Daphnia pulex: one gene and its partners. The protein of the gene in region 2 interacts with the protein of the main gene of each other region in a pairwise test. Links are inferred from orthologs where the notes say so. Each region holds a gene or a part of one and is shown on either strand. Other genes may lie near its edges. The genes, in order: neural Wiskott-Aldrich syndrome protein-like, cytoplasmic protein NCK1-like and sorting nexin lst-4-like.

Region 1 (3,753 bases), on a different chromosome or scaffold from region 2:
ATTCCAGTGAAAGATAAAAGACTAATAAGTCTCTTTAAAATAATACTACGTCAAACTCGAGGACTGCTTTTGATATAGGGAACGATTTTCACAAAAATTTTATTAATCGTCCCAATCGTCATCTTCATCTGGGTCCTGGCCGCTTTCATCACTGTCGGAATGGATGACACGACATCTTTCCTCCAAGGCCCTGGCCAAGGCACCGGCCATACCTTCCATGACATCGTCGCTGACGGCAACAACAGAAGCCTTTTTCTCCACGGGTTTCAGTTCCTTTCCTGCTCTTATTTGACCCAACAAATCGTTGCGTGAATCGAAGGCTGGCACTTTAGCGCCACTCTTCATCGATTGATCGGCATCACTCGGCACCGATTTGAGTTTGTGTCCCTCTTTGATGGCGTCCATCAGGGCGCCACGGACATCGGGTTGAGCTGGAGTGGGTGGGAGTGACGGAGACGAAACAACAAATGAAGGAACAGGAGGAGCAGGAGGTCCACCAAATGAAGGAGGCGGTGGAGGTGGTGGAGGAGGAGGAGGTGCACCGACAGGAGGTGGTGGGGGTGCAACGTTGTTAATTGGTGCCATTTTCGGTGGTGGGGCACGTTGAGGAGGTGCTGGAGGAGCAACAGATGGAGGGGAGGCAATCACTCTTGAAGGTGGCGGCGGTGGAGCTGAAACGGGTGGTGCCGGAGGAGCGATCCTTGCCGTCTGAGGTGTAGACGGAGGATTCCTTGCTGGCACCGGAGGTGCTGAAAACAAACTGCCGCCGGATGACTGTAAACTCGAAATCTCACGAATAGCCGCTTCTTTTCCTCCATGTTTGTCGATAAAATCGTAGATGAATTCACGTGTTGCTTTGTCTTTCAAGTGATTCTCCGATATGCCGGCCTTTCATTACAAAAGAAAAAAAAGTTAAACCATAACAGAAGTTAAGTTAAGACCATAGAAAAGTTAAACACAGAAATGCTGAGCGAAATAGTCGTCTTACTCTGGCGAAGAACTTCAACAGATTTGGATCGACGTTGTCAAGTGCAAATCCTTGATTGGGGTCCCATCCAACGTGACTGATGTGTTTGAAATCTGATGGCCCTCCAATATCCGCTTTGGTAATTTTCTTGTTCTTGTCTTTCTTCCCTTTTTTTGTCACGGTTATACTGTTTGTGATTGTCGCTGATCGTACTGCTGTAGATTTTGGTACCGATCCGTTCGTGGCGACTGGCGTGGGTTTTCCTGGTTGCGGTTGCTGCACTTGCTGCTGTGATAAACGACGGCGTTCTAAAACACAACAACTGAGCTATTAATCAACCATTATTTGTCAACATCAAAATGTACACACCTCGTTTCTCCGATTTCATCCTCAAATATTCTTTGATAGCCATCAGAAAGTATTCTGCCTCGCCTTCATTAGCAAAATTAAACCCGATGCGACATTCCTGCATTCGAAAAATATTAACCAAATTGATATTGTAATTTACTAATATGATCAAATGAATGTCAGGACTCACATCTCCCTCAAAAGTGTGAAAGTAAGGTCTTGGTGCACAGTAGTCAAAAGAACTGTACAATTCTTGCTCCCAGATGGCAGATTGCCTGTCGAGGCAAAATACTCTAAGGAAATAGGATCTCTTGATATTATCTTTGATGAAGCAGACTACACCACAATGCCGTTTGTTCCATGTGGATCTATTGGGTGGATCAGCAAAACAGACCTGAACCACAGCTGACGCCATACTCTGAAAAAGAAAAATTACAAAACATTAAATGTTGACTTTTAGAAGAATCTAGTACTGGGGGGACTTACTTTGCAGCGCAAGCCAATGAGTTTAAATAATTGATCATTTTCTTCTAGTGAAAGAATAGATGATGGTTTGTTTTCAGGTTGGGGACGCTTGGCAGCAGTCATGGCAATGTTATTACTGGTTCTAGATTTTTCAAAATGTGTCAATTAAACTTTCGATCGAAAACTAGTAAACACATCGACAAATTTATATTAAATTGTAACTGTCACACAACTGTAAATAAGGATAAGTAGTTCTTATTGTTTGAACGAATTTTTCACGATTATCATTCAATTGAATTATTATTTATACGCTTATTTCATAAACACTTACGGCAGTCACTCCCTTACCAGTCTCATGAAGATCTACACACGGTGTTTCACAATTTTAAGATACGAGAGTTTTATCTTGAGGAAATAGTCCAATACGGTCCAATGGTTTGGTCCACATCAGACAGGACGAAACAATTCCATCTAGCGGTAAATTCATAAACGCTATGAGAATCACGGGTTGGGATCAGTTGTTTACTTCATGTTCGGAATGTTGATCGCCTTTCATTTCTAAGAACTTCATCTTTTTGTGCTTTTATCTCTTCATTCGATTTGCTCCATATATCATTATTTTTTATCTTGTTGATGAATATATATATTTTTTTCAGTGATTCTTTAAACCAAAATGCATGTGAATGGAAAAGAATTAATAACCACCTCCTTCAAACCTGCGACGTGAGACATTAGATTGTGTATTAGAATAAATACGATGACTATTATACAAAAATTCTTTTTGAAATAGGATTGAAGGAAGAATAAATTACAGAGTTCTTCATCCGGGAAAGTCGAAAGGAAATTTCAAGGAATTCTGGTTTAAATTGACAGGCAATCTTCTTTTTTACTTCGGTTTGAACAATTTTGGAGGAATTAAAGGAAATGTAGGTTTGAAGTACAGAAAATAAGAATTTTGGTCTCATTTTTAAGCTGTTAAAATTTCATTTGCAGGAGCCTATTGGTGTGATAGTTTTAGAAAATTGCTCCGTAGCATTTGATGAAGATGGATCTGGGGTATTTGCTTTTGTTGTTACTTTCTCTGGTGATCAAGACAGACATGTGTTCTCTTGCTTCAGTGTGAATCAAGCACAGAATTGGGTCATAGCCTTGAGGCAAGCCAGGTAAAATTTTTCATAATAATTCATACATGGACAGTGCTGACATAAAATTAATTTTTATTTAGTTATGAACATTTGAGAATCCAAGTCAAAATTTTAGAGAGTAAACTGGAAAGTCTTGGTGGAAAGGTAAGTTTAAAAGGAAAAATTTTAAGGGAAAATTATTGTTAAAATGATAAAATCTTTGGTATGTTCAGAGCATTTTTAAATGGAGTACCACAGCAGCATCATCAAGTAGTACTACACCAAGTAGTGTATTTAAACAGCCTTCCAATTCTGCAGTTCCCGCTTTACCTACGCCCCCAGCCAGAAAACGTATCGGGCCTAAAGCAAAAACATTTGTGAGTCACATGTCTGACGAAAATCCCCTGCCGATAAATTCTTTCATAAGTGATAACAAACAGCCTGATCAAGACTTGATCAAATGGTGATTAGTGATGAAAAAAACAACCGTCCGACTTAAAAAAAACGTGCCAATCATAAAGAGATTTAGATAGATTTGTGTAATTAATATTAACATTCCTCTATTAAGCAAATTAAGTTATGTTCGGCTGATTTTCGAAATCTAGTCATTAAATAATGGCTCAAAGAAAAACTGCCTCTCGTTCGTCGCATTGGTTTGCACTTGTTACAATTGGCTATTCCGCTGTATCACATTGACATCAACAGGCAAACTAATGTCGTTTTTAGAAATCTTCTTTCTTTTGAAGCTGCGTGGCCGTGAACGTTGATGGTTATTTTCTTTTGGTGTGCAGTTACTGATTCGGTTGCAAAAGCCGGTCAAGAATGTTTGAATCAATTGGTTATCAACAT
Region 2 (3,753 bases):
TGGTTATGTGGTCGGGTGTTCAAGGGATGCGAGAGACTAGATTCCTCGATACCAACACGAGTTTTAAAAAAATTAATAATAATAATAACGCACAGTTCCACTGAGGTCTATGGTGATGACGAGTGAGCGACCAATCTGGGAATGAAAGCAAGCGAATCCCTTCTTAAACCCACACATCCCTCAATTTAACTGAAACCCTCAAAAAGATGGCGATAGAATGATTATTTGAAGAAAAAATTGATAATAATCAAAAACCAAAAATTTGAATAAACGAATGGACCCGTGATACCACCGGTGCCCTCCTGAAGTTATATATTTTGTGTTTCCTTTTTCACTCGCCATCTCTTCTCATATTTTGGAAACCGTTACTTTTTGTTGTTGTTGTTGCTGCTGTGCCCCTTTAGTGTTATCAATCAAAATTTAAGGAAACTAACTGGGAGTAAGTCTGTCCAATATATCGGGCTAGCTACGAGATTAAATTCATCAAGTGAGCTTGAAAACGCACTCTCCAAGTGCCCTTGGGTCGTATCTGATGAATGCCGAATAATTGCATAAATGAATTAAATGGATCGTTGTCAACGGCGAGAAAAAAGTTATTGGGGTGGGGGAGCTATCGAAAGAGATGAGAGAGTTGTCTCTTCTGTGTTTTTTTTTTTTTTTTTTATCCTTCAAAGAGAGAACAGTGGGTTCGTAATAAACCCACACATTTGGTTAGAGCTACTTGTGTTAAGACCGCCATTAGGCCATCGGTTGCATCGGTCTTGTCGCCGGAGTGGGTGGTGCAAAAGAAGGTGGGATATATCCGACAGGCTTGGGTAGTGGTCGGATAAGGAAGAGACGTTCTCCTTTTTCTGACGTGAAAATGGGGGATCTTTGGTAGTGGTCTACCAACTGGTCGATAGAATGGAACCTAATTCGAATATTAATCAGAATGTAATTGGAAGACTATGAAATGAATATAATCCGATCTTACCTCCGCTGACCGATGACATACAAAGCTCCTTCGACGTGGACTCGGAAATGCTTATTGCGACCGGGTGCTTTCAGAGACACGGAGTAATCTCCAACCTATTATTTACAAATGAATTAGTAAACGTAAACTCTAAAATAGTTTTTTTTTTAAACAAATTACGTTGGTTTCAGATGATCGCACAAGAAAGTCTCCATCTTGACCATACTGATTAAGTAGATTATCGCATTCAGCTCGGGTGATGGCTCCGTAAAACCAGGATTTTTCTTTCAAGTGAGGGAAATTAGGATCCTGGCTCAGGCTAGCAGATACGGCGGGAGGTGTATTCAAACTCAAGGCATCCAAACTTCGCCCCATGCCGTCTACTGCGTTACTTCCGTTGTTCGGCATCGGGGGCAAATTGCTGACAGGAGGCCCACCTGGAGCACCATTACCACCAGGTGCTCGTTGACGGAAAGGTTCGGTCAAAAAGTCGCTAATCTCCTAAAGAAACAAGAAGAACAAGTTTTATTGTAACGAGCATAACGTTACCAATAATTAATTAGTCACGACGAAATAATACCTGAACGTAGTTCTTTGGAATCAAACCAATTGAACCATTGGTGTTCCGGGCTCGATACCAATCCGGATCTGCAGGTGGACGATCAAGAATTTCAAGTCTCTCGCCTTTAACGAAGCTTAGTTCTTCGTTATTTTGTGCAGCAAAGCTGTAAAATATATCAAATACCAAAATAAATTTTAATCCAAATTAATGACTAAAATTCGGCTTACCTGTAAAGAGCAACTACGACATCCAAAACATTCTCGGCTGCTGAGTACATGTGTTCTCCCGCAGACATAACCATAGCTGATGCAGCCGGCGGTGCGACGCTTGCTGTCATGTTTGCTACAGGCTGCTGCTGCTGTTGTAATGAATCTGGGAGGGTATAATTTGATGGAAACCATCCAATTTGGTTTTGGTATTGACCTTTCCACCAACCATCACTGCTTTTTTCAAGCACGAGCACCTTTGTTCCTAATAAATGCATTGATTGAAGTGTTAGTAAACATACTGGGGGTGTTGACGTCAATTTGCAACAAGTTACCTTTCACAAGAGACAATTCATCAGTTTGCTGAGCAACATAATTGTAACGAACAAGCGCCCAGCCTTGGTGAGGCCCTGCATTGAGATCATGAGCTGGATAATGTGATGTATCAGGAGAAGGGCGCTTGATTACTACTGGAGAATCAACTTCTCTCACGGGAGAGCCACCGGGACTGTTGGAGGATTTGTTGATGCTATTCCCTTTTTTCACTCTCTTCTTGATTGAGTCAAATATAGATGGTTTCTCCTTCTTCACATAATTGCTAGGGACATATCCCCATTGGTGTTGAGAATTTTGAACTTTCCACCAATGTTTTGAGTCATCCAGCAATAGAAGTTTGTCATTCTTCCTTAAACTCAACTCCTGTGATCCTTGGGCAACATAATCATACTTTGCAATGACATAACAGTCTTCAATGGCTTTGCCTGAAACGAATGCAATAAACCAACATATAAACATCAACTAATGACAACTGCATAATGAGTCACCCTATAATAATAAACCAACATACCCATTTTTAGACTGCTAGACATTATGTTGTGCGACCCTTAGCGGACACCAATGAGCAATCACTGCCCAAAAATGCTTTGATTTTGAGCAATACTCAAGCTGAACGATGCAAATTCAATTCAATGACTCGTCTTTATCGATTTTAATCCTCGAAAAACTTTTCGTGGGCAGGGCCAGTTTTTAGTTAGCTGCCATGTTGAATACGATGCCTGCTGAGTTGCCATTTACTTTAAAGGCTAGAGCGGAGCTGACGAGAAATAAAATGTGAAATTTACATTGTAAAAAAAGTTTAGAATTTATAGAGGATTGATCCATCAATTTTGGTCATTGGAATGATTTCCGCGCATGCAATATCGTAACAGATTACGATTATTGCACTGTTGCATTTTCAAATAGTTGCTCAGCCAAGAGGGAACTAAGAGACTTATTTCTATTTATGCTGTACTTCATTTAGCTAGTTTGACTAGTATCCACGAGCCGCAGGTGAAACCATCCCAATCTTTCCACCTCATGATGATCGGGTACCATAACCACTGGACCACGCCAGTAATATCATTTATGAATTTTTTTTACTACACATTAAATTGTTTTATTCACATTTTATTTTTGCGGAGCTGACGAGTCTTTTATAATTTTTTTTAAATTGATGATTATTTATTTTCCGGTAATCATATTCAGTTTACATTAAATTCGAAAATTTCTATGCGTTTCCAAATGCGGGTTTAAAATAACAAATAATTTGTCTTGAAAATGGTATTGTTTTATTGTGCATTGACGAATTAATCGTGGCGCAGTTTAATCAAGATATTATTCCATAATGTCGCGCTTTGCTCATAAAGTCCGATCGGGAATAATAACAACCTCTCAATACTCTTTCACCCTGATAACTTTCACGCCCATGCAAGAGCCTCCAGTTATCAATTATCATCACGGTTCCTGGTGAGAGACGAAACCGATATTCGTTTTCTTTTTTCTTTACGAGCGTCGCCATGGTTTTTAGATAACGATAATGGGTACCGACTTCCTCTTGTGGGATACCAGAAAGAGGCGACCGATCTAGCATGTTGAACCTGAATAAAGAATAAATTTACTGTAATTAAAATAGAAACGCCTTTTTATTCAGACAAAAGTATCTTACCGAATCTGTTCCAACTTATGGCTCACTGGATGATGACGGAAGATGGGAC
Region 3 (3,753 bases), on a different chromosome or scaffold from region 2:
CCGTGGCGGCCAGGATTCCAAAGTAATTAGGAGAAACTTCGTTCATTCGCATGAAGGAATGGAATTAAAAAAAAATAATGCGACTTTTAAAATCCGAGTACTGCGGTTGTTGTTTTTTCTTAGACATCCTTGTACTGGGATAAGGTGGACTGCAGATGATCGACAATCTAAATGAAATACATTTCAAACATCTGGTATTAGTAGAGAAGTTGCAAAAAGAAAAAAAAGGAAAAATAAATAATAACCTTTTGATAGTAAGTGATCTGTTCCTGTAGGAAGATTTTTGCGGCTGCATTAAAATCGTGAACACGTTGTTGATGGAAATAGGACATTTCAGCCAGTAGCGTGTAGGAAACAACATCTGTTCGTTGTTGAGCACGAACTACAACGGTGCTTTCCGTTTTACCCTCAGATGCGGAGCGTTCCAACTCGCGCCGCTTTTGAAGGGCCCCCTATAAATTAAAAATTAGTATTGTTTTAAAAATTGCCGAAATTGCTGGGTTACCTTGTGGACGGTAATGATGTCGGGAAATGAGGCAAGTAGTCCACGATAATCGTGTAGTAAATCTCCCATCGGCTCGAAATCCAATCGTGGTTGGTCCTCACAAAGAAGAGCTATCTGATCATACGTGTCAGCAGTATGGGAAAGTGCTCTGGTCAGAGGAGCTGTCTCTAGCAATTCCATAGCCGTGCCAAGAGTTCTACAGAGACAAACAGTTGGTTAACAACAATACAAGGGCGGAGCACTTCTCTTTGAAACCTACCTGAATGATTGGCCAACACGTTGATAGTCGCGTTTATATGGACCTTGCTGCCGTTTTACTTGTTCGGCAAAGTTGCTTTGCATCATGCGGACAGCTGTATCAAACGACTGCACGAAACGCCCAAAAGCTTCGGTCTGAGAGTCACTATGATCAAGAAAAATGTAAAAGCGATCAAATAAACAGTTGAAAAAAAAAAAAACAACAACAAAAACTTACAGTTGTAGTGGGTCAAGCGACTTTTCTGGTACTTGTACAACACCAAAGATTGCGGCGCCAATTACTTCGTCTTTTTCAGCTTTCCGCTTGCCCGTTTTCCATCGTTTGGCATCTGTGCACGTTAAAAAGTGCAACCAGACATCGGAGCGTGAGAGAATTGGGTGGTCACACACACGGCTAACAAATGATTGCAACTGTAGACGTCTTCGCTCGATAAATTGTTCTTCATACCGACCTATTTTAAGTACACAAGTTCAGCAAATCGACTTCAACCAAAAATTCTACAAATATAAGAAATCACCAGAAATTTGCTTGTCTGGAAGGGGAGGAATGGGAATGATGCAAAATTTTTCCACAAGTCTTTCGTGAAGCCAATCGAAATGTTTGTATCGCCTAGAAACCTGGATATTGTTTAACGACGGTGTCAACTGGTAGGCAATGAAACTTTTTAGGCCTACGATGAAAACATAGAAACAAGTTGACACATTAAATTATATTTAAAAATTAGTCGACTAGGTTGTAAAAATATTACCTTTCAATTTTGATTCTTTCTTTGGTGAAGCCACTACACACGAGTAAGGTTGAGGATTCGGAGCCCATGTGATACCGTTGTTGGTTTCGATGATGTGGATTTGGTCACTATCAGTGGACGTCACTTTGTTTGCCCCCAGAATGTAAGCTTCTCCGCCAGTTTTAACGAAGTGAGAAAACCGGTTCAAATTTTTACGAACGGTTCCTTTACCGTCTCCCAATTTCAACCCTGCCATGTTGACATCAAGCGCACTACCAACGTCGCTATTGCTTCTCCCACCTGCAGCAGGGTTTCCCGGATTGCTACCTTGGTTGGCTTCAGAAACGTCATCATCCCAGTCGTCATCCCAATCATCGTCGTACTGGAAGTAGATTGAAAATACCTTATTAATACAGTTACCAGGAATCTCCACAATGTTTTTGGAATACCTGTGATTGTTGCTGTTGAATCGCTGGAGCTACATTTTCCTCTACGTATATCTGGGGCAATGGAGGAGGAGGCATAGCAGGAGGTGCATTGTAATTTTGTTCAATAGCCTGTTGAATTAATACAATAAAATGGTTTTTTGAGGTTTAAAATAATTCAATTTACATGTTATTAATACAGAAAAATCCAAATGATACAAAATTCTTTTCTGGTTTTACACTAGCATGCATGACATAACAGGAGTAGGAAGAAATTCATACCTCAACGTAGGCTGCAGGAAATATTCCACTAACTCCACGTTGATTACTACCTTCCCACCATCCTTCACCAACATCCTTACTAGTGACAGTTAGAACTTCACCAGTAACAATAGATAGTTCAGATGTGCCAGGCTGGCCTTCAAAATCATAAAGGACGCGCGCCTAGAAAAACGATTCATTTTGTAAATTAAACTGGTTTCGAAACCGGATATGGTTAATGAAATGGTAACAGCAGTTACAGGAGTGAGAAAATTTATAGTTCTAACTAGAAGACGAAACTGATAATTAGAAAAACCGGAATCAAAACTCAAAAGTTACCTGACCAGCCATCTCGAAGAATAAAAACTCAGCTTTTTACAATACCCCTGCTGCTGTGTGCTGTCAAACTGATTTCGTCTCGCCCCCTAATAACAGCTGAGAGGAATGAGTCAGTGATGAGCAGAGCTGAATCTGAAACCAAACGATAAGTTACAAAATCTGAGACCCGAGTGACATTTTAAGGCCCTAATGTTTCTTCTGTCTAGTAAGTAATGCCATCTACTGTAGAAAGATATTAACTGCATTGGTTTGAAAGAAAAACAAAAGAAGTACGATTGTTCGAATTCGTCTGCAACGTGTATTGGTAGTAAAACACGCGACACGCGGTATCAATTATTTTAGAATACTGAAACTTAAATGTATACATTGTGAAACATTTATTTATGAAATGTCGAAAGGCAAATCCCTAAGTGAAAGATTAGCCGAACTTGCCAATCCAACACCTCAGTTTGCTGATCCAGAAGATGAATATAACGAAGGTAACAAATTGAAACAAAATAACACCTACTTGTTTTTCTTAAAGTGTTTCTAATCTTTCTAGAAAGTAAAGCAAGGCTGGAGTCCTTTGATGACCAATATGAGTCGTATGATAACACTCAGGTGGTTAAGAATAAAGCACCAAAAAATAAATCTAATCTACGCCAAAAGAATGTGGAATTATTAGCTGTTTCAGATAGCCGATATGCTGGGAAGCGTGTCAGTCGCAAAGATCTAAATTCTCCTGTAGGAGAAGGCTACAAAAGTTCTGAGTCATCTTTAGAATCTGATAATGAAAGTGGGGAAGAAAATATTCTGGAATTTAAGAACAAATTCATGAAAGAAACAAACAACAAATCAGAGAAACCCAACATCTTCCAGGAATCAGAAGACGAAAGTGGTTCATTGAAATCTGATATTCATGAAGAAGATAGTAATGAAAGTGAATTGAATAAATCTGAAGATGACGAAGAAGCTGATTTTGAAGAAGGAGAGGGTGAAGAGGAGGGTGAAGAGGAGGGTGAAGAGGAGGGTGAAGAGGAGGGAGAAGAGGAGGAAGAAGAGGAAGGAGACATTGGAAGTGTAGATGACAGTGAAGGAGAAGAAAATGAAAAAGTTAAAAAAATGTCAAAAAATTCTCATGATAATGATATAAACAAGGGAAAATCTATCCAAAATCAACTCTCATTATGGGATCATCTTCTTGAGTGTCGTATAAAGATGCATAAAGGAATAAATTTATGTAATCAGTTACCTCAAG

Evidence for each region.
Region 1: the proteins of cytoplasmic protein NCK1-like (region 2) and neural Wiskott-Aldrich syndrome protein-like interact in a two-hybrid assay, tested with the Drosophila melanogaster proteins (2 studies listed by BioGRID). The link is inferred for Daphnia pulex from reciprocal best matches to the Drosophila melanogaster genes dock and WASp.
Region 3: the proteins of cytoplasmic protein NCK1-like (region 2) and sorting nexin lst-4-like interact in a two-hybrid assay, tested with the Drosophila melanogaster proteins (2 studies listed by BioGRID). The link is inferred for Daphnia pulex from reciprocal best matches to the Drosophila melanogaster genes dock and SH3PX1.

What each region holds. Positions count from the first base shown.
Region 1 is NC_060019.1:7,011,735-7,015,487, forward strand, and holds the start of neural Wiskott-Aldrich syndrome protein-like, read right to left. Parts: upstream 2,272-3,753; 5' UTR 2,129-2,271; exon of another isoform or gene 2,112-2,128; intron 2,069-2,111; exon of another isoform or gene 1,923-2,068; 5' UTR 1,904-1,922; coding exon 1,802-1,903; intron 1,734-1,801; coding exon 1,506-1,733; intron 1,434-1,505; coding exon 1,337-1,433; intron 1,276-1,336; coding exon 989-1,275; intron 889-988; coding exon 103-888; 3' UTR 1-102. Other genes in the region: pleckstrin homology domain-containing family J member 1-like, read left to right, coding at 2,454-2,503, 2,571-2,706, 2,774-2,943, 3,006-3,069, 3,138-3,371; wiskott-Aldrich syndrome protein-like, read right to left, coding at 3,569-3,753.
Region 2 is NC_060024.1:8,484,343-8,488,095, forward strand, and holds the start of cytoplasmic protein NCK1-like, read right to left. Parts: upstream 2,784-3,753; 5' UTR 2,590-2,783; coding exon 2,568-2,589; intron 2,482-2,567; coding exon 2,056-2,481; intron 1,986-2,055; coding exon 1,742-1,985; intron 1,678-1,741; coding exon 1,533-1,677; intron 1,454-1,532; coding exon 1,133-1,453; intron 1,069-1,132; coding exon 974-1,068; intron 911-973; coding exon 739-910; 3' UTR 1-738. Other genes in the region: trimethyllysine dioxygenase, mitochondrial-like, read right to left, coding at 3,366-3,636, 3,705-3,753. UniProt on the Drosophila melanogaster protein: Adapter protein that links cell surface receptor tyrosine phosphorylation to downstream signaling pathways and effectors, many of which are involved in regulation of the actin cytoskeleton.
Region 3 is NC_060028.1:5,996,164-5,999,916, forward strand, and holds the start of sorting nexin lst-4-like, read right to left. Parts: upstream 2,716-3,753; 5' UTR 2,529-2,715; coding exon 2,517-2,528; intron 2,361-2,516; coding exon 2,199-2,360; intron 2,049-2,198; coding exon 1,941-2,048; intron 1,874-1,940; coding exon 1,513-1,873; intron 1,435-1,512; coding exon 1,282-1,434; intron 1,216-1,281; coding exon 981-1,215; intron 909-980; coding exon 765-908; intron 702-764; coding exon 506-701; intron 453-505; coding exon 246-452; intron 168-245; coding exon 120-167; 3' UTR 1-119. Other genes in the region: protein AATF-like, read left to right, coding at 2,905-2,995, 3,058-3,753.